Ovis aries: one gene and its partners. The protein of the gene in region 1 purifies or fractionates together with the protein of each later gene. This does not show direct contact. Links are inferred from orthologs where the notes say so. Each region holds a gene or a part of one and is shown on either strand. Other genes may lie near its edges.

What was found. The genes of interacting proteins can lie anywhere in the genome.
Region 2: the proteins of STRN (region 1) and PPP2R1B purify together in Homo sapiens (affinity purification with mass spectrometry; 5 studies listed by BioGRID and IntAct, with this or other methods). This does not show direct contact. The link is inferred for Ovis aries from reciprocal best matches to the Homo sapiens genes STRN and PPP2R1B.
Region 3: the proteins of STRN (region 1) and CTTNBP2NL purify together in Homo sapiens (affinity purification with mass spectrometry; 5 studies listed by BioGRID and IntAct, with this or other methods). This does not show direct contact. The link is inferred for Ovis aries from reciprocal best matches to the Homo sapiens genes STRN and CTTNBP2NL.
Region 4: the proteins of STRN (region 1) and CCT7 purify together in Homo sapiens (affinity purification with mass spectrometry; 3 studies listed by BioGRID and IntAct, with this or other methods). This does not show direct contact. The link is inferred for Ovis aries from reciprocal best matches to the Homo sapiens genes STRN and CCT7.

The regions. Positions count from the first base shown.
Region 1 is NC_056056.1:87,165,201-87,171,572, forward strand, and holds part of STRN (striatin), read left to right. Parts: intron 1-229; coding exon 230-405; intron 406-2,191; coding exon 2,192-2,239; intron 2,240-3,025; coding exon 3,026-3,147; intron 3,148-6,372. UniProt on the Homo sapiens protein: Calmodulin-binding scaffolding protein which is the center of the striatin-interacting phosphatase and kinase (STRIPAK) complexes.
Region 2 is NC_056068.1:21,771,808-21,778,179, forward strand, and holds part of PPP2R1B (serine/threonine-protein phosphatase 2A 65 kDa regulatory subunit A beta isoform), read right to left. Parts: intron 6,054-6,372; coding exon 5,953-6,053; intron 2,791-5,952; coding exon 2,558-2,790; intron 2,272-2,557; coding exon 2,124-2,271; intron 1-2,123. UniProt on the Homo sapiens protein: The PR65 subunit of protein phosphatase 2A serves as a scaffolding molecule to coordinate the assembly of the catalytic subunit and a variable regulatory B subunit.
Region 3 is NC_056054.1:89,885,685-89,892,056, reverse strand, and holds part of CTTNBP2NL (CTTNBP2 N-terminal-like protein), read right to left. Parts: intron 5,085-6,372; coding exon 4,854-5,084; intron 1,313-4,853; coding exon 1,205-1,312; intron 1-1,204. UniProt on the Homo sapiens protein: Regulates lamellipodial actin dynamics in a CTTN-dependent manner. Associates with core striatin-interacting phosphatase and kinase (STRIPAK) complex to form CTTNBP2NL-STRIPAK complexes.
Region 4 is NC_056056.1:95,261,914-95,268,068, reverse strand, and holds part of CCT7 (T-complex protein 1 subunit eta), read right to left. Parts: intron 5,420-6,155; coding exon 5,367-5,419; intron 5,016-5,366; coding exon 4,844-5,015; intron 2,782-4,843; coding exon 2,617-2,781; intron 1,881-2,616; coding exon 1,692-1,880; intron 969-1,691; coding exon 871-968; intron 315-870; coding exon 182-314; intron 1-181. UniProt on the Homo sapiens protein: Component of the chaperonin-containing T-complex (TRiC), a molecular chaperone complex that assists the folding of actin, tubulin and other proteins upon ATP hydrolysis.

The sequences.
Region 1 (6,372 bases):
CTGAATTATGTATTTTCTTATTATAGCATTCATATTTCTTCAAAGAAAACCATTGTTGACATATTGCTAATTTTGCCTATTGATTTGGTTATCTGCTTAAAAATTACATTATTTTGAAAGTTGCAAAATAATGGTAGTTTAATGATGAAACAGTAAGAATTAATGCTGAAATACAGTTTTTTCCCTCATTCTGAACTAAGTATATTGGTATCTTTTTTTTCTTTAATAGATAGCAAATAATAAAGATGCATTGAGGAAGACATGGAACCCCAAGTTTACATTAAGAAGTCACTTTGATGGTATTAGAGCTCTCGCTTTCCACCCCACTGAGCCTGTTTTGATAACAGCATCAGAGGATCACACGTTAAAAATGTGGAATTTGCAGAAAACAGCCCCAGCCAAAAAGTGAGAATATTCTACTTTAACTGTATTTGAATAATTTAATTAATATTTTTCAGCAGAGAAAGCCTTACTTTATTATTTGCTGTTAAATTCCTCAAATATCTCTTCTAATTTTTTTCCTTACCATGTTATGTAATTTAGGATGTTTTTGCCTTCATACTCATAAGCTAATTTAGGTTGAAAAACTGACCCTTAGGGAGAAATGGTTTGTGAATGCTGATTATAATCTTTATTTGGTGTTTTAAATAACTTAAATTTTGAGAACCCTTTGTCTGCGCTGGAGGTTTCTGTTGTTGTAAGCAGGCATAGTCATGTTTAAAACCGTCAAACCCCAACCCCAATCCTTCCCCATTGTTTACTAGGTTTGGCCTTATGCTGGAGCCGGTGGGGGCAAGAGACCTCTCTTTGATCCTTTCTTTTGATCTTGACCAAAATGTCTAGACTGAAGGGGTACTGTTGCTGCTCTCACTTATCTGCTAAACTTCCCTTGGCCCCTTGGTTCCTCTGTAAGCACGGACAGACATGAGTTGGTATAAACCCCTTTTATCAGTCACCAAGCTAGTCCTGATCCCACTTGGTACTTTCTCTTTCTTCCTTGGATTACGTGGTCCAGAACCCAGCATCTACCAGCAAGGGCCCTTCTACAGTGATAGATACCTCTTTTTATTAAAGAGTAGAAATGAACGTCAAATGGAGGAGAGGACAGAAGTTTTACTACTGACAGAGAATATCTCCTGCCCAATTTGAAAACAATCAGTGACATTCCAGCTGTCACACCTAGACGTTCATCAGACAGCTCAACTGGATATTGCTAAAACCAAGTGAATCTTCATGTAGATCAGGTGTCTTTAACAGAGAAAGGTATTTCCTGGTTACAAACTGTGCCTTTTGTTCTTCAAGTTCTTTAGTTCACAGTGGGCATCATATTAGATGAGAGAATGTTGAGTATCTCATCATATATTCTTGACTGTAACTTTGAAATATATTGAAATTTCTTGCTGGTGGTAGCTTAGTAATAACACCTTCACAAGCAAGTAACAATAGTCTTTGTTTACCTTTGAACTTAAAACTTTGGAAATGAGGAGAGCTATCATATGCCTATTAAAAAAAAATCTGTAATACAATCCAGTTTCTGTTCTCAGTATGGCCAGCATAAGCCATGTAGAGTACTCATACACTCAGTGTTCTGAGTAGTGAATAATCTGTTCTGATGTTCAAATCTAATGTGGACAGTTTCTGCAGGTATTCAGGACAGACATGTTAATCTTTATGGAAATGCGAGGAAATTAAAGTACCTTTGATTGAAATTCTGTTCTGTATGGTTCTGTCCTACGCTGTTTTACCGTGAAGAATCTCATTTAATCTTGTAAATATTTGCTGTTATCCCTATTTTTATATTTTATATTAAACATAGAGGAATCTAAAGTTTCAAAAGATTAAATAATTTGCCTAAAGTTAGCCAATTAGATACAGAACTGGAAATTAAATCCAGAAATTTATGTCTTCAAAACCCTTCTGTTTTCTCTCCGAGTGAGGCTCTTTCTCCCTTTAATCAAATAGATTAGGACAGTGCTAAAAGTGCTGTAACAGTTACTAAAGAATTTTGTTTCTTGAAGCCACAGAAATATGTGATTGATGTTAGGTAGGCTTTATTGTGTCCTGGGGTTGAGAATTGTATATTACCATAGTGTTGATATTTCTAGGGGCGTTTTTATGACATACATTCAGTCATACTGTTTACTACTGACTTTTAGAATGATAAAAACATCCTCCTTTCTCTCTGATTTAGGAGCACGTCTCTTGATGTGGAGCCTATCTATACATTCAGAGCTCATAAGTAAGTGTGTGCTTTTTCTTTGTGTTAAATCAACATCATTGTAAATCAGCCTGATTAGTATATCTTCTTTCATGTATGTATTTGTCGTATGTGGTATTTTTATTGTATTTGGTAGCATTTTTTTTGTAAATGTAAAAGAAAGTGGCAGATAATGTAATGTTAGTGACAAGTATATCACTACCAAATAGGGATCCTTGCTGAAATTAGGTATTATTCGCATGATGTTTAGATGATGTATATATCTCTCTCTTAAAATGAAGTTGACGCAGTTAAGTTTAACTATTAGAAATCCTGATCTTTTTTTCCTTAAAGATAACCTGGTAAAAATACCTGAGACATTTAAAAAATCGTGGCCACATTTCATGCTTTTCCTGTTTCCATTTAAGTTTAAGAAATGTACCTGTTCACTCGATTGAGCACAGAGGTTGGCATACGTTTTATATTTAAAAAGGGTTAGATAGTAAATGCTTTTCAGGCTGCATATTTAATGTTGTATATTCTTGCTTTTAGTTTAGTTTTGTATTATAACATTTTAAAAAGGTAAAAACTGTAAGTGCTTTAGGATTGTACAAAACCAGTTCACTGGTTGGATTTGATCCACAGGCCATAGACCACTAACCACTGGTTTAGCAGAGGAAGAAAAATGAATAGTGCTTTGGTAAATTTTTTATTTGTTGTACAAAATAGAAAAAGAGAAAGCCATTTGAAAAACCAAGCATTCTTATTTCTAACTCATTGTAATACCAAATAGATTTTTTGAGGATGGAAATTGATTTTTTCTCCCAGAGGTCCAGTGCTTTGTGTGGTGATGAGCAGCAATGGTGAGCAGTGCTACAGTGGTGGTACTGATGGACTGATCCAGAGCTGGAACACCACTAACCCCAACATCGATCCCTATGACTCCTATGGTATGTGACTCCCCCAAAATATGAAGGAATCACATAGTTTCTTTTTATGCATTTTATATTGCATATCTATGGATAAAATGAGATGGTTTTGAAAATAAATTTATTTTGTTAAAAAGGGTTTCTATATTTGGGAATCAATTTGATATATATATATATAATATGCTAAAAAAAGAGGGAAAATAATGTATTTTTCCTGCAAAAAGAGTTCCCACCCCCAAGTCTTACTGATTGAAAATGCTGCCTTGATTGACAGTTGTTTTCTTCATTTGTAGGCATGTGTACAGTACTTGACACATTATTATTAATCTGTAGTCATACTTTGTCACTACTCTTGACAAATAATTTTGAAGGAAAATGAATGTTGGCATCATCGTCTTGATCAATTATTACAGAGTGTAGAGGCTAATGATTTTCAAAGTGTATAACACCAATATATTTAAAAGACTTTTAAAAATTAAAAAGTACCCTTTAGATTTGGAAACAGCACCATGAATCAAAAAACTGTAGGATATATCACTAGATATTATCATAAATTCTCTTTCAATTATTTTGATTTTCTCTTTAAATTCTCCATAAATTCTAGAATATGAAGTGTCATATTTGTCATAAAACCATAGTTTATTTTTATTACCATTTTAGATTAATTTCATCACTAAACCTAAGATAAGAAATTCAGTAACTAAAATATTCTCCCAACATTTATTTAGTAATCATTTAACGTATTTTGTGAAAGATAACACCCTCTCCTGCTGCAGTTCTTTTCTGGATTTCTCTGTTTCATACTTTTTGTCACTTCCTTTATCCCTCTTTCAGAGATTAGTTGATCTCATTCTGTCCCAAGCCAACTCTTTCCCTTTCGCTGTTGACCTCCTTCTCTTGTTTCCTTTGAGACTGCACTGTCTTTCTTTTTTGCTGCCTCTCTCTTTTGCACTCATCTGAAGCCTTACCCTTTTTGCTCTGTTTCCATCCCCTGAGCATATAGTAAATTCAAGTTTCTCCCATCCTGGGCAGGAAGAAGCCTTTTGTGACTCCATTTCCCTCTCTGGTTCTTTTTTTTTTTTTTTTAATTTTATTTAAATTGGAGGCTAATTACTTTATAATACTGTGGTAGGTTTTGCCATACATTGATATGAATCAGCCATTGGTGTACATGTGTCCCCCATGCTGAACCCACCTCCCTCCCCATCCCACCCCTCAGGGTCATCCCAGTGGGTGAGCATCCCCGCCCTGAGCACCCTGTGTCATGCATCGAACCTGGACTGGTGATCTGTTTCACATATGATAATATACATGTTTCAATGCTGTTCTCTCAAATCATCCCACCCTCGCCTTCTCCCACAGAGTCCAAAAGTCTATTCTATACATCTGTGTCTTTTTTGCTGTCTCTCATATAGGGTCATTATTACCATCTTTCTAGCCTCTCTTCCTTCCCATGTCTCTTTGGTCTGCTGCTTCTAAGTCGCTTCAGTCGTGTCCGACTCTGTGCGACCCCATAGACAGCAGCCCACTAGGCTCCCCCGTCCCTGGGATTCTCCAGGCAAGAACACTGGAGTGGGTTTCCATTTCCTTCTCCAAGGCACGAAAGTGAAAGTGAAGTCGCTCAGTCGTGTCTGACTCTCAGTGACCCCATGGACTGCAGCCTGCCAGGCTTCTCCATCCATGGGATGTTCCAGGCAAGAGTACTGGAGTGGGGTGCCATTGCTTTCTCCACTCTTTGGTCTAGAAAACACAATTATAAGTTACTGATTCCATGTCTTTCACTGTACATCATTCCTTTTCATTCTGTCTTGTGGCTATGCCACTTAAATACAAAAAAGTATCAATAGCTATCTAACTGGCTGATCCAAGGGATATTTTGCAATTCTTATTTTACTTGATGTACTGGCTATCTGAAACTGTGGACCACTCTATCCTTTTTGAAATCTTTTCACTATAGGCTTTTTTGACACAACTCTATGACAGTTTCTATTCCCTATCCATCATAAATTCCTTTTATTTTCTCACCTGAAAATACTGACATTTTTTGAGGCTAGACCCTAACTCCGGAGAAGGCGATGGCGCCCCACTCCAGTACTCTTGCCTGGAGAATCCCAGGGACGGGGGAGCCTGGTGGGCTGCTGTCTGTGGGGTCACACAGAGTCGGACATGACTGAAGTGACTTAGTAGTAGCAGTAGACCCTAACTCATTTTTTGCATTGTACACATATTCTTTGGTAGACTGAATCCACTTTGTGGTTTTATATATTGTTGACTCATCAATCTCTTTTTTAAGCCTGAGGCTACCTACACAGCATTTCAAAATGGCTGTCTTATTGTCCATAAATCCCTACAGCACTTTTTCTTCTTCCATATATTCTTAATTTTTTTGGTCACAGCATGCAGCTTGGGGGAATCTTAGTTCCCCAACCAGGGATTGAATCCGTGCCCCAGCGGTGAGAGCACCAAGTCCTAACCACTAGACTTATTAGGGAAGTCCGTTTTCAAATATTCTTTGTATATTCTCTATCAGGTGGCAGCACTACCAAACTTATCTAAACTAGAAATCCAAGAGTTATCCTTGATTCTTTATACTATTTTACTATCATTTATTAATTACTATACCTTTTTGTTAATACCCCCTAAATATTTCTTGAATTTACTCCTTTTCTGCCCCTTTTATCACTGTCCTTGCTTTGATTTTCATCTTCACTCTCCCAGTCTTTTTAAACAGTCCATTTGCCTTCATCTTGTTTCTTTCCAATCTCTTCTACACTGTGATCAGAGTTACCAGATTAAATACTTGCTTCACACTGCTGCTTCTGGGAAACCTTTCAGTGTTTCTCTGTTGCTTTTAGGGTAATTTCCTGAGTATGTCATAGGCCATCTAAGTTAAATTCACCCATTCCAGTCCATTTTAGTTCACTGATTCCTAGAATGTCAACGTTCACCCTTGCCATCTCTTGTTTGACCACTTCCAGTTTGCCTTGTTTCATGGACCTGACATTCCAGGTTCCTATGCAATATTGCTCTTTACAGCATTGGATCTTGCTTCTATCACCAGTCACATCCACAGCTGGGTATTGTTTTTGCTTTGGCTCCATCCCTTCGTTCTTTCTGTAGTTATTTCTCCACTGATCTCCAGTAGCATATTGGGCACCTAATGACCTGGGGAGTTCCTCTTTTGGTGGGCAGGAATCCCTCAGAAGAAATGGAGCAGCCATCATGGTCAACAAAAGAGTCCGAAAT
Region 2 (6,372 bases), on another chromosome or scaffold:
CTCAGTGAATGACTAAGAAAGGAGCAGCAATTCTATCAGTGGTCACAGTGAATACACACACACGTTACAACTAAACAAATAATTCTTTCAGCATCCATTGCTGTTAATACCACAACAAGACATGCCTCTTGATGAAAAGCAGCCTCCATCTAACAAAGTGATCTTACTGCCCCCAAAATATCAAATCAGCTCTCATTAAGCCTCTAGATCAGGGCTGAGGCAGATATTGGCCAAATATGGAAAGCAGCTAGTTTCTGTAAATAAAATTTTCCCAGAACAGCACCATGCCCGTTAGTCTGCATATGACAGTGTGTGGCACACAACAGCAGAGCTCTGTAGTTACAACAGAGACTGTCTGGTCCACAAAGCCTAAAATATTTACTATCGGGCCCTTTACAGAAAAAATTCACAAATCTCCACTCTAGATTCAACTACCAATTTTGCAGGACAAAAGAAAACATTGCGTTATACCATGGGAAATGTAATCAACAAAATCTCAAATAAGGATTCTAAACCTGTGCTCTCCAATGTGACAACCATTATCCTACTTACTCCCTACTTCTGAGCGCCTGAAACACAACTAGCGCCACACATTCTAATGGTAGTTACTCTGGATATACTGGGTTAATAAAATACATTATTGAAATCAATTTCACCTGCTTTTCACTTTTTAAACTATGGCTACTGTGAAACTTAAAATTAACAGGTAGCTTACATTGTATTTCTGTTAGATGGTGTTGTTTTAAACCATACTTTATGAATAGTAAAAATGCAAAGAAAAGTAAGGAGGTGGTTACCACAAAAATCAAGAAACAGTGTTACAGTCTTAAGGGGGTAGGGAGTAGGAACTGGGAGGGGAGTGTGTTTGGGAGGCAGATCATGCTGGGCTTCCTGGATAATGGCTATCAAAGTTCTGTATCCTTTCACAGACGAAAGTTACAGGATAACATGCCTTGTATTACTTAAGATGCATATTCACTTTGTACTGCTTTGTATATATTATTTTAACAAATTTAAAAAATTATTTTGAAAGATTTATCATCTTCAAATCTAGAATCTGAACATGAGACTCAAGGTATGTATCTGCTGCTCTGGATCCTGTAAACATACAGTGATCTGAGGGCAGAACTAGGTAAACTGTTCTTCTAGCGTCCAGGAACTCAGGGCGCTGATTCTCCAAAGCACCATAAGAAGAGCACTACAGCTCAGCAATGAAGGTCACAACTCTGGAGCTAAGCTGCCTAGACTCAAGTCTGCACTCCAACACTGCTCACTATGCAACCATGAGCAACTTACTCCAATTTCCTGTGCCTGTTTCCAATTGGGGCTGTTGTAAGGGCTGAATTACTTCACATATGTAAACCACTTAAAACAGGCTGAAAAAGATTCATTTGGGTGCTTACTAGCATATTATTATTGCTTTTTGCTGTTATTTAGTCGCTAAGTCATGTCTGACTCTTCCGCCACCCCATGGACTGTAGCCTGCCAGTCCCCTCTCCAGTGAGATTTCCCAGGCAAGAATGAACACTGAAGGGGGTTGCCATTTCCTTCTCCGGAGGATCTTCCCAAACCAAGGATTGAACCCGCGTCTCCTGCATTGGCAGATGGATTCTTTACTAGCACTGAGTCACCAGGGAAACCCATTATTATTGCTAATTTCTACACTGATGAGATGGAGATTCTTGGATTTATAACTGCCCTCATACAAAGTTATCCCATACACTCATAGAGAGGATGCAGAGGGTCAAAGAGCCTTCCCAATACATGCTATGCTTGTTTACCTGAATGCCAAAATTCCAGGAAACATTACTGTCCCACAATAACTCAGCCTGCAGTACCCAAAGGTATAGCTACTCTTTAATGTGGCTTTGGTCTTCCTTCCTAATTATGGCTCCCAATTCCTCAACTCCCCTTCAACAGATGCTAAATGGAAAAGGAAATCACAGTTTGGCTAAGAAAGAACTATAAGGACACTGGGATGGGTAATCTTAAACTTTAGCCAGGCCAGAATTAAGTAATAATTCTGAAAAAAAATGATACTAACATGAGAACCAAAACATCCAAAGAAATTCTTCAAATGTAAGCGCATATTTGTGTACTTTAATTACTAAGAGTTAACCTACCTGTTCATCTGAAGCTAGATTAGTAAACAAAGGAACGATTTCACTTTTCACACTGTCTAATTCCAAAACTTTTGCAAATTCACCCAATTTGGAAGCAGCAGCACGGCGTACCATTGGTGTGTCGTCTGAGCACAAGGAACGGAAGTACCTGCAGCAAAATAATGAAGGTATTTCCTGTTACATGCCACTGATTAAGCATCCCCCCAACACATACAGAAATTTCAGAGGTTTTCTCCTACGAACATCAGGCATTAGACTTCTACTCACAGAAGTAACAAAGGAAAACCCACTGGTACCTTCACCTGGACATTGGTAACTGTTGTCATCGATCTGACTACCCTGATACCAGCCACTCACTGGTAACAGGGTAGTGTGTATCCTGTCAGCTGTGAGCTTCCAATAACCCCAAATAACTAAAAAATACCATATCTTACTGTCTAATTTCTCCTTTGACAGCAATGGAAGCCCTGGGATAGCAAACGCTGAACAAACCACATGCGGATGTGCGAGAGGTGAACCAATCCCCACTCGCTAAGCGTTTCACCAGAGGTACGAAGTGAGCCTCCAGAGCCACTGGCGTGTGCTCCTGCGAGATCTGCCTCAGGGACTCCACAGCCTTGTCTCGAACCACAGTCTCTTCCACAGTTGCCAGGCTTTCCAGAGGAGGCTGGATAGACCAAAATGGAAAACCAGAGAAAACTTACTCAATCAGGTTAGATACAGATTATCATCTTTTAAAGTGACTGAAAGGAGGTGGGACAAGCAACCAGAATGTTAGCTACATCACACCAAACAGTTACTCTCAGTTCACACGGTGATGGCATATGCTGTGTCCAACCTGAAGACACGATTTCTGTAGGACAGCCAAGGTTTCCTGTCCCAGATGGCAATTCCCAGATGGTGTCTATGAATGACATGGTAGAAGAGACCTGACACGATATTAATATCACTGTGAACTGAATCACTCAATTTAAAGGCTGTGTAGCCAAATTCGACAGAACCATGTGTACTTCCTCAAAAGTGAGTGCAGAAACATGACCACCACGGGGCACCACAATTACAGGAGAACCCCGCATCAGGACACCGAGTCCACGGCGTCTGGAGTATCATTCTACCGTTCCTGGAGGTGGAAGCTACCTCTGTCAATTCACTCCGCACCACTGACTTTTCCAAACTATTAAAGGCTGAGTGCAAAATTACTTTTCTCCGAATACACCCAGAATTTTTCCATGAGCCAGACACAGAGTGGGACGTTATGAAAGAACAATTAAGTTAAAGGTACAGAGACAGTAGGAATCCTTGCCTGCAGCTTTAGAAACAGTAGAGACCAAAGGGGTTGGCCCTGACTAGGATCAGTGAGTGAGCAGGGCACAGACCAGGGAAAAGTACAGAGGGCAGATTCTCTGAACTGCTGCTCTTCTGGGTTTGCACTCAGTCCGGGCAGATTCAGGATAGAGCATGAAGTGCCAATGTTAAAGACAAAAGCCACATGTAGAACTGACCAGGAGAGTGAAACAGAATTATGAGTCAAAGGAAACAAGGGAGTCTACATAATACATTTCAAAAATTATTTGATATAAGGTACTCAGCTTTCCTAAGGGAAATTTCAGAAGCCCTCTGAAAAGATACTGTTTTCTTAAAAGCAAAGGCCTTTCGAGTTCTGTCCACTGCCTTCTCTGACCTCCTCTCATGCAGTATCATTGATAATCTCTATCACTACTACGGAAGAGCAAGCTCCTGTCTCTTGATTAAAACTTGGCCTATTTCTCCATGACCTTTTCCCACAGCCCTGGGACCACCACTTCCGCCTACTCTAGCACCAACACTTTATACTGCAATCAACCAGTTTCACACTTCCAAGGCTCCTAAACTCTTTCTTTTAAAATGATAATTACTTTTAAATTCTAGCACTGTGGAGAGGGAAGAAATAAGGCCATGATTTCTTTGCGCTAGTTTACTTTTAGGAGGGGGGGTGTCTTTTGACTTTTCTTAATTTTTTAAAGATTTACTTATTCAAGTACAGTGGTCTTACAATGTTAATTTCTGCTGCACAGCAAACTGATTCAGTTATACATATATTTCTTTTCCATTATCGCTTTATCACAGGACATTGAATACAGTTTTATATTCTAATGGAGAAAGATAACAACTCATCAGGGCAATAACTAGATGGTGTTGAATGCTCTGTAAAGAGAACAGGGGGAATTCCTTGGTGGCCCAATGGTTAGGACTCTGTGCTTTCACTGCTGAGGACCAGGGTTCAACCGCTGGTTGGGGAACTAAGATTCCACAAGCTATGTGGTGCAGTCAAAGAGGGGGTAAAAACAAGGATGATGTGGTAAGGGATGAGTGGGGAAGAAATTTCAGGTTGAGAGGCCAGGGAAGGCATTGCTGAGACGCATTAAAGCTGGCATCTAAATGATAAGGAGCCAGTCACAAGAAGCTCAAAAACACATGTTATTATAGGGACTATCCAGGGCAGTAAGCTTGGTATATTCAAAGAATAGAAGGAAGACTATTGTGAATGGAATGAGGTTATTAAGAGGGAATATGATATGAGATAGGCTCATAGGGGCAAATTTTATAAACTAAGGTTCAAACTAAGGTAGAAATTATGAATTTTCTAAGAACCATGGAAGGGAGTGAGTGATCCATCTCTGGGTGAAGAGTGAACTGGAGTGGTGGGGCAGAAGGCATGAGTGGAAAGCAACTAGATTACTGCAATAATCTAGAGGAAAGACCACGTGGTCTAGAAAGACCAGTGGAAAGATGAGCTAAGTGGTAGTAGAGATGGAAGAAAGAGAACTGATTTGCAATACATGCAGAATCTACAGGAGTGACTGACGGATTTGATGTGGGAAGTGAGGGGAAACAGATTCAAGAATGTCTCCCAGGTTTTGGCTGCGCAACTAACTGGGTAGATGGTGATGCCATTTACTGCAATGGGACAACTAATTAGGATACACTTTGGGGAAAAAACTGCATTCTGTTTTAGACAAACTAAATTTGAAATGCCTGTTTCACACCCAAGTAGAAAAACCACAGCAGATATATATAACACAGATATTTATATCTTTCTACATATATCTATATCTGGAGCTCCATGGAAAGGTCAGAGGTAAAGACAGAAGTCATGAGAGTCAGCAATATAATACAGCCAATACTGAAGCCTTGAAGCATACAACCCCATCATCCTGTGCAGCTGTCAAATTCCTAGTCATCTTTCACACCCCAGTTCAGACATTCTCTCCCAAAGAGATCTTCCCCTATCACCCCGGGTTAATCCCTTTCTCTTTCATGTGCTTCAAATTTTTCCATCTAACACATAGTAATTACTTGTTGACACAAAAGGACAGAGGCCTTATTACACTCCCAAACCCTGGTGCTCACCTTTAACATGAACATTGTAACTTCAGTGACTGATATAGAAGGTTCTCAAATGAAATTCACAAAGGAAGTCAGAATCAAAAGCTACACTTAAAATTAAAGACAAAACTAATAAACATTTCCAAAGCCACAGCATTGTTAGATGAGAATTAAGATTTCCACCATAAGAGGGAAAAAAAACCATGAACAGAAACAATCCAGTCCTTTTTCTCCTAACTGCTAAAGTAACAAGTCAGAGAAGAGAAAGTTCCCACATTCACAACCAGAAAAATTAAGAAAGGTTGAGTCCAAAATGCCTACATTATTTGTTCTCTCAATAGCTAACACTGTGACTATCCCTAAAAAGATCTGCATAAAAAAATGCTGCACTGTGCCTATCACCAAACAATGTACTATTTATACTGCAAAAGTTCTAGAAGGAGAGCAGGCAGAATATACTCACCAGCAAACAGTGGGCAAAGTCAGGACCTCCCACCAGGCCAGTGAAATTTCCCAGCTGCTCAGCAAGAGCTAACAGTACCTCATCTTCATCATAAATTGTATCTGGAAATGACAAGAACCCAGTATTCATCAACAAGGATAGCTGGCCCAAAGCTGGACACTCATACAAAACTAGGAAGAGACTCCATATGTAAGTAGACGATCTGCCGCCATCCTAACCGCCTTTTCCTCCTTCTCAATCACGTGTCTTCATGGATTTGTTTTACAGAAGTAACTAGAAATTCATAATTACATATCAATTACTTTTCTATTAGCTAAATAGTTAATATCTGAATATGTCTGGCCACAACATTACAATGTATGCTCTGCCCTGTTTCTTCACAGTAGAAACAACAGGCTCAGTTTAGTACTTACTAATACT
Region 3 (6,372 bases), on another chromosome or scaffold:
GAATGCCACCACACATCTGGATTAGAGTAAGGAAACAAAGAGACACTGACAACTGTTACATGCCATGTGCTTACATCAACTATTTCTTAAGTATTACAACACCTAACGTAAAAATGTACACACGACGACTTAATCTTGCTTTGATGATTTAGGAGCCACTTCTAGTTCTTACTGTCTCAGGATTATTAGTGGGAATCTGAATTGTCATTGTGTTCTAGGTCTGTGGAAAGTTCAGAGGATTAGAACCAATCAAAACAGAAAGCAGAAAGCCATATAAACTGGATTTTGTGATGAATGCTGATGAAAACAAAACCTTTAAAGCTTCAGTAATAATTCTTTCTGGTCTTAAAGACAAACAAACATAAGTAGCTGCATATGAATCATTTTTCTACACAAATGCCATTGGCTTTAACCATCATCCCAACCCTACTTAATGAACAAAATGAGAGGGAAAGGGTTCAAGGAACCCTATTAGTCAGTGTTTTTCAAACTCTGAGACCCATGAATGGATGGGGAAACCATTTAGTGAGTCATTAAGGATGTGAACAAATGAAACAGAAGTGAAAATATTAATGTGTATTATAAGCAGTAAGGGTTATGTATGATTTAATGAGATTTTTGTTTCAAGCATATGTATATATGTGTATGTGATGTAAAATGTATTTTTTACTAGGAGTCCTAAGTCAAAAAAAGTTTTGAGAGTTCAAAGTTAGTGTTGCCCAAAGTGTGTTCTATGGAATGATGGTCCATAGTGAATGATCTATATTAACAGATTTTATGAAAATATAGATTTGCTAAACACAGATTACCCTATATTAATCTTGAAGACTCACAGCATGCTTTGGCATACTACAAAGTCTAAACAATTGAAGTTAGAAACCTCTTTGTTTGTTAGTCGCTCAGTCGTGTCTGACTCTTTGTGGCTCCATGGATTGTAGCTTGTCCATGGGATTCTCCAGGCATGAACACTGGATCAAACATGAACACCGGGGATCAAACCCAGGTCTCCTGCACTGCAGGCAGGTTCTTTACCATCTGAGTCACCAGGGAAGCTTCTTTAACTTTGTTTAATACAGTAATCCCCAGAGTTATCTGATCACAAAGCCCTTTTTTTTTGAGTAACACCAATTTATACCCTGCAGAATAATCTTCAGGAAATGCTACTCTAGGCAAATGCTGCTCTGAGCCCTTCCACCTTAATTACCTGTTGAGTCAGCCGCTCTCGCTCCTTCTCCAGCATGTAGGTGACATCATCGCCTTCAGCTGTGTCCTGTGCATGCCTCTGCCTTTCTTCTTCAAGGTCTAGGATTACCTTTAAAGAATTAAAAAAATCATTTCCAAATATAGGGACTCACACTTAGAATACAATGTAACAGTAAGTGCCTATCTAAACATCCAAGATCATATTCCATAGATAAATAAGTAAGTAAATCTTAGTCAGGGCCATCAAAGAGCACACTGTCTAGAAGGGTGAAAGATATGTTCTAGAAAAAATACAATATATACTTTACCTCACACAAAGTGGCATGTAAACAGAAAAGAGGAACTCATTAGCTATAGGGACTGAAAAGGTTTCAGAGAATTAATAAGTTTGTTGGGATTAGGGGACAGGTGAACTAAGGCAGATTCATGGAAAGCTGAAAGCTGAGGCTTTCCCCGTGATGCTCAAATCACTGGAGGTACCAGAGAATGAAGCCTGAAATTAAACATTTCAAATAGGTGACATCCTAACTGTGTCTTGCTTAATTATTATATACGTGTTATATACAGTTAGATAAGGAGTAAAAAGATTCTCTAGACTTCATCCTGCATACGAGAAGGCTTAATTATTGAGATCTGAAGTCGAGATTTTTCAGAAGGCCTTTTAATTAACTGTCTACCCATTCCACTTACCCTGGTGCCAAGCAATTAAGCCCAACTTTAAGGAGGGTACAGGTTTAAAGGGGCACTTCCCCACATAATCCTGCCTACAACTGCATACTATTCCAATAATTATGGATTTCTTCATAGCTTCTGCTCATGATTCAGAGGTGGGTTGGCCCAGACCTCCCCAAGCCAGAGCACTGCCATCCCCATGGCCATTTCTCATCGTTTGTCTTCACTAACAACTGTTATGAATGGAGGAAGAAGACTTTCTGGGACTCCTCTTTAAATACAAAAATGAAAACATTCTGGTTTATTTCCTTCTGGTTAAAAAAAGATTTTGGCTTCTCCTTTCCAGAGAGGCGTCTAAAATTATAGAAATGGGATGAAAAGAAAAAAAAACCCTAAAAAGAGAGACTTTGGCAGACAAATTTTTAATATTCTGAAGAAAGAAAGAGGCTGGAGGGATGGTAGCTACTTGGTATGAGGGAGGAAGCTGTTTTGCCCTGTAGGACCCAAAAGACATAGGGGTATCTGCAGGTGGCAGACACTGCAGAGAAGAGGTAAGGTGTGGGATGGAAGACAAGGGAACTAGGTCCAGCTGTGTGTATTTTCAAGAGTTACCTGTCCCTTCAACCTGATTCCTGTACACAGAATGCCCAGCCAGGCATCTACCGCCCAGGAATACACCAGATGTTTATACTCTGAAGAGACAGAATGTGACAGCCTCCAGATTTGGTAATAACAGATATGACAGAGAATAAAGGTGAGGAAAGAGGATTATTTTTATTTTGGGAAGATGGCAGGGTGAAGAGGAAAGGGAAGTGGGGTGCTAAAAATCCACATCTATAATAAAAGGAAGTAAATATAAGTGTCTAAAATTATCTGATAAAGTGAGAGAGCAATGTATTAGTTAGAAATATGGAAAAAATATATGGAAGTTCGCTAACAAAATAACACATTAGAAGAAAAGTGGTTGTCTCTAATATTGAGGAAGAGAGGGAATGGGAAGAGGTAGACTCAGTTCAGTTCAGTTGCTTAGTCGTGTCCGACCTTTTGCGACCCCATGAATCACAGCACGCCAGGCCTGCCTGTCCATCACCATCTCCCGGAGTTAACTCAGACTCGCGTCCATTGAGTTGGTGATGCCATCCAGCCATCTCATCCTCTGTCGTCCCCTTCTTCTCCTGCCCCCAATCCCTCCCAGCATCAGAGTCTTTTCCAGTGAGTCACCTCTTCGCATGAGGTGGCCAAAGTACCGGAGTTTCAGCTTTAGCATCATTCCTTCCAAAGAAATCCCAGGGCTGATCTAAGCAGAGTAACCATGTAATTCACTGTTTAAATCACTAATATGTCTAAGAGCCAAAGTGGGTATCGTTAACAACTCTGCCAAGGCACCAGGCTTAAACTGGAATTCTCTCAGGAAAACTGGGACTATATGCATGCTAATTATAAGCCTCTAGGTACTATGTGATGTCTAATGAAGTCAATGTTCTGCTTTGATAAAACACTTAAGAATAGATAGGCAGTGATTTAAAACATTTAATGCTATCTTACACTGAAATATAGTATTAGGAAATCTTGAAATTTTTAACTCTTTTTCTCCCCAATCACCTAGGACCATAAATTATCCCAACACTACTTCAACAGGCTTGATAGCCAGCCAGCCCTTCAGTACCACTCAATTACTTTAGGTATGAAGTGGAAAACAGGCTTGTCTATTAAATAAAGATGTTGTGTAGATTTTCTCATAATATGTAAAAGCCCCCAAATTTAGGCAACTAACCCTAACTCAGTGACATCTTTTAAATTGGAGCATAAATGTCTTCAGATTACTTCAGTCTAAACCAGAGGTTAAACTTTTCTGGGTCTTGGAGAACTCTGAGAATTCTAGTAAGGATAGGAAAAAAAAATTCATTTTCTATAAAATGCATAAATTCTGGCATTCACTGTATTTTCTGGGGGGTCATGGAACATCTGAGACCTATTTGTGGTTAAGAACTCCCATTCTGGCTTTTTGTTTGGACTCTGTGAAGGGAAAGAAAAATTGTGGGCAAGACCTAAGACCTTAAGCACTTTGTCAGATGCACTTTAAGCAGATGGCTCTCTAAAGCAGGTAACCATAAAGTAAACGAAGATCTATCAAACTGCAGCTGCTAACCCAATTTTTTCTGAATAAAACACTTCCTACTAAATGCACTGATGTCCCCCCACCTTGTTGATATAAATCTAAACCAACAGTTCTTAAAAATGCATATTCTAGCCAAGCATCTTTTCCAGGCCAAATGTGAGCTATAAATGACAAGTCGGGGAATGAAATCACAAGCACTAGAAGAATTCCTATGAGATGAGGTAGAGGAAAGCACAGGTCCTATCTTAGATGCTGTAAGACCTGGAGACAGACAGACAGACACACACATACACACACACACATTCCTAATAGAGAACAGCTTTAAGGTAAACAACCGTAGGGACTGTTTATGGTTTCATGAGAGGTAAAATGCAATGAAACTCAAAACCAGAAATTTAATAAAAATAATCTATTGGCTTGTATGTTTACAGTCAGGTAAATTCTCTCTCTCTGATACAGCATTCCCCAAATACCCAAATACCTATTAATCTTTCTATTTATCACTTAAGTAAGCAAATAGAGAACACTCTGTTCAGCTACAAGGCTTGGTCAAGCCCCAGTTTGTTGCCAAAGTTTGGGTGATCAAGAGTTGAAAAAACAAACCAAGTGTTTTGGAGTGTCGTATCAAGAAGGAATGTCATCTAAAATAATGTGTCTGACATACTCCCTAAATTTAACCTTTGGAATAACCTGCATTTTCTATCCCCTGGCTCCTAGGTAAGCTGATTTCTTTTTTTTTTGGACACCTGTGAGACCTCCCAGTTGAACTACCATGAGACCTGGCAGCTGACAGAAAAGTATCAGGCACTATTTAGAAAGCTGTCACAGGAGCCTGCGGGCTCGTGTCAGCGTCACCCACCTTGCGGTGCCGGCTCTCAGCAGCAGCCAGCTGGGACAGCATGCGCTCCTGCATGTTCTTGCACTGTTTCATCACCATCTTAAGAACTGAGAGCGGGTTCGTGCACACTGGCTGCTTCTCGCCATCATTCTTCTCTTTCAGGGTTTCAAAGTCTCTCTGGAGCGCCATTAAAGGATCACTGATGTTGTATTTTCCATAGCGTTCTTCAATGAAAGTATCTCTGTGTTGGGCCTGGGAAAGAAGGAAAATAAGCATTTTGCTTTCAAATATTACTGAAGAGGGGATTTGCTAGCAGTTAGACATCAAAGGTGGTGATGTTGGTATGAAGTAACCTGTGACTACAAATCAGATGGGCCATCTAAGTATAGATACAGCATCAGAATAGGGGCACAGCATACTAATGAGAACAAATACTTATACAGTGCTAATTACATGTTAGATGCTGATCCAAGTGTTCAGATTCAGATTACCTTAAGTTTTACTTTGACTTTTAAAATGGTGCTATCATTTCCATTTTGCAGATGAGTAAATTACTATGCAGAGGTCAAGTGACTTGCTTCAGGTTGCTCCGCTAGCAAGTTGTCAGAATTGGGATTTAAACCCCTCTGGGCAGCCTGGCTCTAAAGTCTGTGACCTGAACTGCCATGCTTACTGCCTCAGCTTATGAATGCTTGTATTACCAATGGGTATATCTTATCTTTCCTTGCTGAGTTATGGCATTTGCATTTCTAAAATATGGTAAACATAATATCTTTATGAGTTTACAGATTTAGAGACCTAACAAGGTGACCATAGGTAAGTAAAGGATGCTAAAAATAATTCTACATTATAATCGAGGACTGGTTGTGATTTCTCCACATAGAACTTCACTCGACTGCTGATGGGTCAAGAGGGTGGAGGCTCTCGGCACTAGGGCTGCAGACAGAATCCCTCCACCCCCTCTTCTAGCCTCCGTCCGGCTGCTGTCTTTCATCTCCATCCTGTCTCCTTCAGGGCTTGGGGAACTTGAGCGGGGAATGTGGACTGGTGCTTGGAGCCTGGCCTAGGGCTTTGGTCCTGGGCACCAAGTCAGGTCAAATGGTCAGGAAGGCAGTCGAAGGAGATTCTTAAGCTACCCTCTTGTCCCTGCTAGGAAAAATTTGAAGTCCTATTTCATTTGAGCATCATATATTATGTGCAGGTGAATAAAGGACATTAACAATCATGTAAACAGACATTTAAATGTTTCCTAAGACATTTTACAAAAAAAAAAAAAAAAGAATTGTTCATAGAGGGTTGAGGAAACTTCCTCAAACGTCATAGCAAAGTACTGTATAATTTAAGCTTTCAAATGACATCTAGTTACAAAAACTATTGTCATTTCTCAATTAAAAAAATTATTTTATCAGGAGCTACATATATATTTTTACTACCACCACCCACAAGTGGGAACCCATTTGAAAAGAAAAATACACAATCCAATGACCATGCTTAAAAAACAGAACAAAAACCCTCAAGAAAATAAAGTGAACATGGGTTT
Region 4 (6,155 bases), about 8.1 Mb from region 1:
GTAACATGACTTATTTTGAGAGACTGAGGATGTTTCTTTATGATCCATGAGACAATCAGAGCCCACATGCCCCACATGGAAGGACAGGTTATACAGGAAAGGGATCACCACACAAATCCAGGGTTGCATCAGCTCAAGAGGCAGAGTAGGCTGTGCAGGCTGGAAGCCCCCGGTCTAGTACCTTGATGGCCCTCCTGACAATCATGATGGCGTCGTGCAGGGACCGCTCCGTCTCCTCCATAAATTGCTCTGCACCACCACGGAGGATGATAGTGCATGTCTTGGCCTTAGGGCAGCCAGTGAAGAAATTGTACCTACACCCAGGATCAAATTGTATCTGTGAACTCTTTTCTGCTGCCAACCCACAGTGTTCTGACCTCACCAAGTCCTCCCAACACTCAGCAGCTGCTCTTCTGTCCCTCACTAAAGTTCTCCAAGCCTGCCCTTAAAGGCGTGTTCTTGGGAAGGTCTAGGGCTGTACCACAGGGGCATAAAAGACTGTGGAGTCAGACTGTAGCCCTGATTTGACCTTCTTTCTTCCTGAAACACTTTATATAACTGAGCACTATACACCCCAAGAGATTAAAGTCTCAGAAGACAATAGCACACGCTACTGTAACCTGCCAGCTCCTCTGTCCATGGGATTCTCCACGCAAGAATACTGGAGTGGGTTGCCATTTCTTCCTCCAGGGCATCCTCCCCACCCAAGGACCGAACTCGCTTTTCATTTCCTGCACTGGCAGGCAGGCTCTGTACCTCCAGTGCCACCTGGGAGGCCTGTTATATATACGCCACAAACCAAAGACAGCAGAAGGCCATCAGGCAAGTCTCATGAGCTAAGCAAACAGGGAGCCCAGGCCTACCACTTACCTCTCGCCTCCAATCTGCGTCTCTTCAAAGACCTGGCAGCGGCCCAGAACATCTGATGACAGCGCATTCACACTGGTCTGGATGGAGCCTCCACAAGCCTGAGGAACACAGGACAAAATCATCTGGCAGTGACAGATCACATGAGGTGGGACGCAAGCATCCTGCTACCTAATTTTAAAGCCAACTGCCATGTTAGACTGCCACGGTGCCCCAGATACACTGGATGAGCCACTCTCACCCTTGACCTCAAGGCTCCCTCTGGAAGAGGAGAAAACAAAACAGAATGAAGACACATGAAGGGCAAACAAGCCCAGTTAGAAAGCTTTACCCAATACTCTCTTCCCTAAACTAGAGTGCTGAGTGCAGTGACTGAAGTCATGATCAGTGCTTTAAAACTTAAAGCACCTTGGCAAGATGCTTAAGAAGAAAGGGAGGAGGGCCTTCCTTAGCAGTTCAGTGGTTGAGACTCCATGCTTCCAGTGCGAGGGTGCAGGTTCCATCCCTGGTCAGGGAACTAAGATTCCACAGGCGCAAGATGCGAAAAAAAAAAAGAGAGGAAACCCGGCCTGCAGCATCAAGACTGGAGTCAGCCAGCTAATCGCAGCACTGCTGCTAGGTTCCCTCACAAATCAGCTTTCCTGACTTGTTTGGTTAGATTAACTCTTATATAGTAAGTATGCACACACTAGAACTGAAGTGTTTTATGACAAAAAGAGTTAAGAAGACAAGCCCAGATTCATATACCACTCCAATACACTAGGGGTAAGTGAAAACCCCTGGGTCCAGAAAGACCTAAAAGCAGCCTGAGAAAGTTTGGTTACCATCATTGTCCTCTTCAGATCCTCCTCTGGCACTCGGCCAGCACAGAACATGTCCCTGTCAGCGAAGTACTGGGTGGCTACATCCCCGATGGGGAGTTTGGACAAGACGACTTTGGCTCCGGAATGATGGATCTTCTCTAACTTGTCATAAAGAATGTTCCACTCAGCATCAACAATTGCCTGATAATCCTGAAGAGACCCAGAAAATATTGATTTATTTGTGAATTAACAGAGGATAAACAGAACAGACTCCCCTCAGTTCAAATAAACAAGGACCCTATAAGGTAACTTAGGAACCATCTACAACTTTCAAACACAAAAGCAGCAAGGAATCTGAGCACTGGGAGCCACTCCAGAGCTGGTATTTGCTAAGGTGTGAGGCAGTCTGGCCAGCTAAGTTCTAGCTCCTCTGAGGCACTGCACCCATGGAGTCCCCAGTGACAAGACCTTTCCTTCAAAGGCCATTCTGTGCTGGGGATGGATTTTCCAAGAACAGCTGCTTATGGCTGGGTGACCATGCTACATCCAAAGAGATAGCCTTGCTGATACCAATGTTGGGAGCACACCAGTCCCAGCAGCATGGGACACAGTCTAGAATGGCAGAGCTCACATCTACCCAAATAAGAGGAATCAAAATACAGGGCTCATTTTATAGCTGAAAGCCTCCTGCAAGCCCCTTCCCCAGGGCCAAAAGATAATGTTTCAGCAGGTTTGCCCTATCCAAACCTCCTTAGGTCCAGGTCAGAGAGAGTAGAGTGAGAAGAGTGGGCCTAGTATTTAGACATCAATACTTAGGGGCATCGGAGGGGAAAGGAGCCCACAAGGTACCTGAGAAACAACGCTAAGCCCGAAATGACCACCAAGGCCCAAGGCTTTGGCCCAGAATGCTGCCCATTTTCATGCCGCTGCCAGCGGGAGGACCTACCTCAACTGTGTGGACTCTGATTTCCGCATTATCTTTCTCAGCTTTCAGCTCAAGCTCAACATTTAAAAGGGCAATCATTGGATTATGGTACTTTTTGGGTTGCATTTCAAAGCCAGCATAAGAGAAAGTCTTCTTGAATGCGACGCCAGCGACAAGCTGGGACTCCTGTTTAAAAAAATCAGATGGTTCAACAGTTCAGCACTGGCATGAAATAAAATCAAGTTAGTGGTGTGCTGGACTAACGCATATCCATTTCTGTGAACCTGAAAGGGTTAATTATGTTTTTATTCCACTACTGTAATGAAGTTTTTCCATCATCCTAAATGCTAGGAAAAATATGAAAACATATTTTGGTTGTCCCTTCAGGATAAGGAAAACCACTTAGCTTGCAGATACTAAACATGGGAAAGGCCTGTCTGGGCTGTCCTTTAGGACTGACCCTCCAAAGCACACGTGCCAAGGGATGCACTGTCCTTCCAACTCGACACCTCCCAGTCTTCACTGCACATAAGTACACATATCCCTCCCTACCTGTACTGCACGTGAGCGTACAAACACCTGTGTGCTGTAGCCTAGATGCTTCCTCTCTTTAGGAAATGAAAATAAAAGGTCATAACAGTCAGAAATTTCCCGCAGTTCTCAAGTTATCATTGTGGCTTCTCTCATCTTAATCCCTCAAAATATGAACTACTACACCACTCATTCCAAAACAGAGCTTGCTGCGTGGCAGATTTAACATAAGGGCATGAGAGAAAACACACAGCACTTGGGAGTGACTTTAATACTATGAGAAGGCAGGCTCAATCTCAGATCTTATTAAATGACCTAGTCATTTCCCACTCCATAAAGAATGGTATATTCAGGAAGTGAAGTCAGAAAGAAAAAGACAAATAGCCTATGATATCATTTACATGTAGAATCTAAAATACCACACAAATGAACCTCTCTATGAAACAGAAACACTCACAAAGTGAACAGACTTGTGGTTGCCATGGAGGTCGGGGGTTGGAGGAGAAATGGGTTGAGTTTGGGGTTACCATGCAAACTACTAGACAGAATGGGTAAACAAAGTCCTACTCTTCAATATTCAGTGATAAATCATAATTGAAAGGAATATGAAAAAGAATTAGGTATGTGTTAACAATCACTTTGCTGAACAGGAGAATTAATACAACATTGTAAATCAACTATATGTCAACAAAATAACAATTGCATTACCAGGACAAAGGACTAGTAAAAGAGACAGACTGAACGTATGTGTGGCTCGCAGCCCCTGGCTTTCTCACCAGTTAAAATTACAGTTCTGAGCCCTAGTTTAGTGAATGCCAATTTAATCTCAAGGGTTTCTGGAACAGAAGATGGCACACTGAGATCAAAGCAGTATGTAAAGACAATGTCAGCAAGCCATGACATAGAGAATGGGCTGAAACACGCCCATCTGGGGGCCAAAGGCATGGGAACGGCTCAGATGACTTTCAGATTCTTTACAGCTTTATTACATAAAGGGAATCTCATCCCACTCTCGTGTGCCATGACAGGAAGAAGAGGAGGAGACGAACAGAATGGAAATGCAATTGTGTTGTGCATATACAGTAGACACTAGCCACTATTTTAATTTAAATAAGTGAAAAAATATGTTGTTAAATAAACAAAAGCCAGTTGCAGGACACTATGCATTACAGGTGAGCATTCGTTTCAGAAAACAATATTTACATTTATACTTATAGATGCACAGTCTGGAAGAATACACACAGTTAAGAGTGGTTTCTGGGGCAGGGGAGGTGTAGGAGACATTTCTGTTTTCCTTTAGGACTTTCTATACAGCTTGACTTCTGTACTATCTGTTCAAGATAAATGAATAAAAGAAGGGAGAGCCTGCTTGTACCACTTGGAGAAGAATATACTGAAAAGTACTTATATTTATTGAGAAGGTTTCAGATAATTTATCAGAGCTAGCCCTGTCCCCTCAGACATTAACACTGAGATTCTGAAAATCAGCCAGTTCACCCTTCGATTCTGCTGACAAGTAATACAAGTCTGTGGAGGTTACAAAATGCACCTATAGGAGACAGCTTATAGCCACAGTATGAGGAACACAGCTTCAGTCTGGCTTTCAGCCCGAGTGCGCTCTCTCTATTCCTCTAACGTGTGCTGTCCTCCTAAGCCAAGCTGCCTACAGGGTTGATGTGAAAGCAAGAGCCTCCTAGGGAGGCCTCGGCAGGCTCACCTCTAGGGCTCCACCTTGCACCTTCTTGATTCCAATCATTTTAAGCTGCAGCAAATCATCAAGCATCATCACCGCGTCCACCACCATCTTAGCGAAGAAGGCTTTCTGCTGGGAGATCAGCTTGGAGCTCAGAGCAGTCATGGCACATTTCTCAAGCAGCTTCCTCTGCTCCCTGGGACACAAGGGTGGGACCTGCATCAGGCCTTGAAAGCCCCTCTTATCGGACTCTATTGCAATGTGGAGATGGTTTCTATTCTAGCCTCTAAATTCAGCCCTCAACCTTTGTCTTCTGAATCTTTAGGGCAGATTACCAGTGACAGATGGTAATTGCAGTCAAAGACTTCATGAGTGACAGCTTTTCAACTGCAGTCTACAGCCACTCTTGTACTACACGGACTGGGGTACAGCAAGGGGTTTAGCAAGAGCCAATCAGCCCCAGTCCATGCAGGGTATTCCAGCACGCTTCTGCATCCAATCTGGCCATGGGAAGTCAAGGTTCTGACAAAGTTCACTGCAAACTTACACTTTATCTTCCTTCTTCACAGTCACTGCAATCTCTTTGATCTTGTTAACTGCCTGCCAAGAACAGAAACTGGGTGAGTCTCTCACATTAAAAACAAACTGGAAAAGTGGATCCCAATCTCTCTTGCTAGTCCCTAATCTTTACTCCCAAATCTTAAGTATTTCTACTCGATAGTCAAAATACCATTTCTAAGTCTTTTGCTGCCCAGAAAAATATGAAGCTCTAGTTTAGAAAAATGCCCAAAGTTAGAACTGTAGAGCAGGCACAGAACAGCACCAGTGACAAAGTGCAGGCCAGAACAGCACTGGTGACAACTTCCAGTACTTTATATAGTAACTACGTTATGTAATATATGATACACATATTCGTATGTTAAACATTGTATCATTCCAAAGCCATCTTCTTCAAAAGATATCCTTTCGTACATACTTCTCACATGATTTCATTTTAATGTCACCATCCCAAAACAGAGACAGTAAAGAAAGTAAGGTGAAGAGGAACTGACTTGCCCCAAGCTAAAGAATGAGAGTCAAAGGTCAATAAAAGCAAGGCCTCAAGATGTGCTACGAAGTACTCGATAAAAACAAAACAGCTCTCACTTACTGACAGCCTGTGGTACATCTACATCATGGTCTGTCAGGAAACTGGAAGCTTAAATAGACTAAGTAATATACCTAGTCAATAGCTATTGAATGGTAGAACTGAGATTTCTATGGAGTAGAATTCAGAAGGAATTCAAGGAATATTGTCCCCAGACCCTCCACAACCCAATACAGACCATATCCTAAG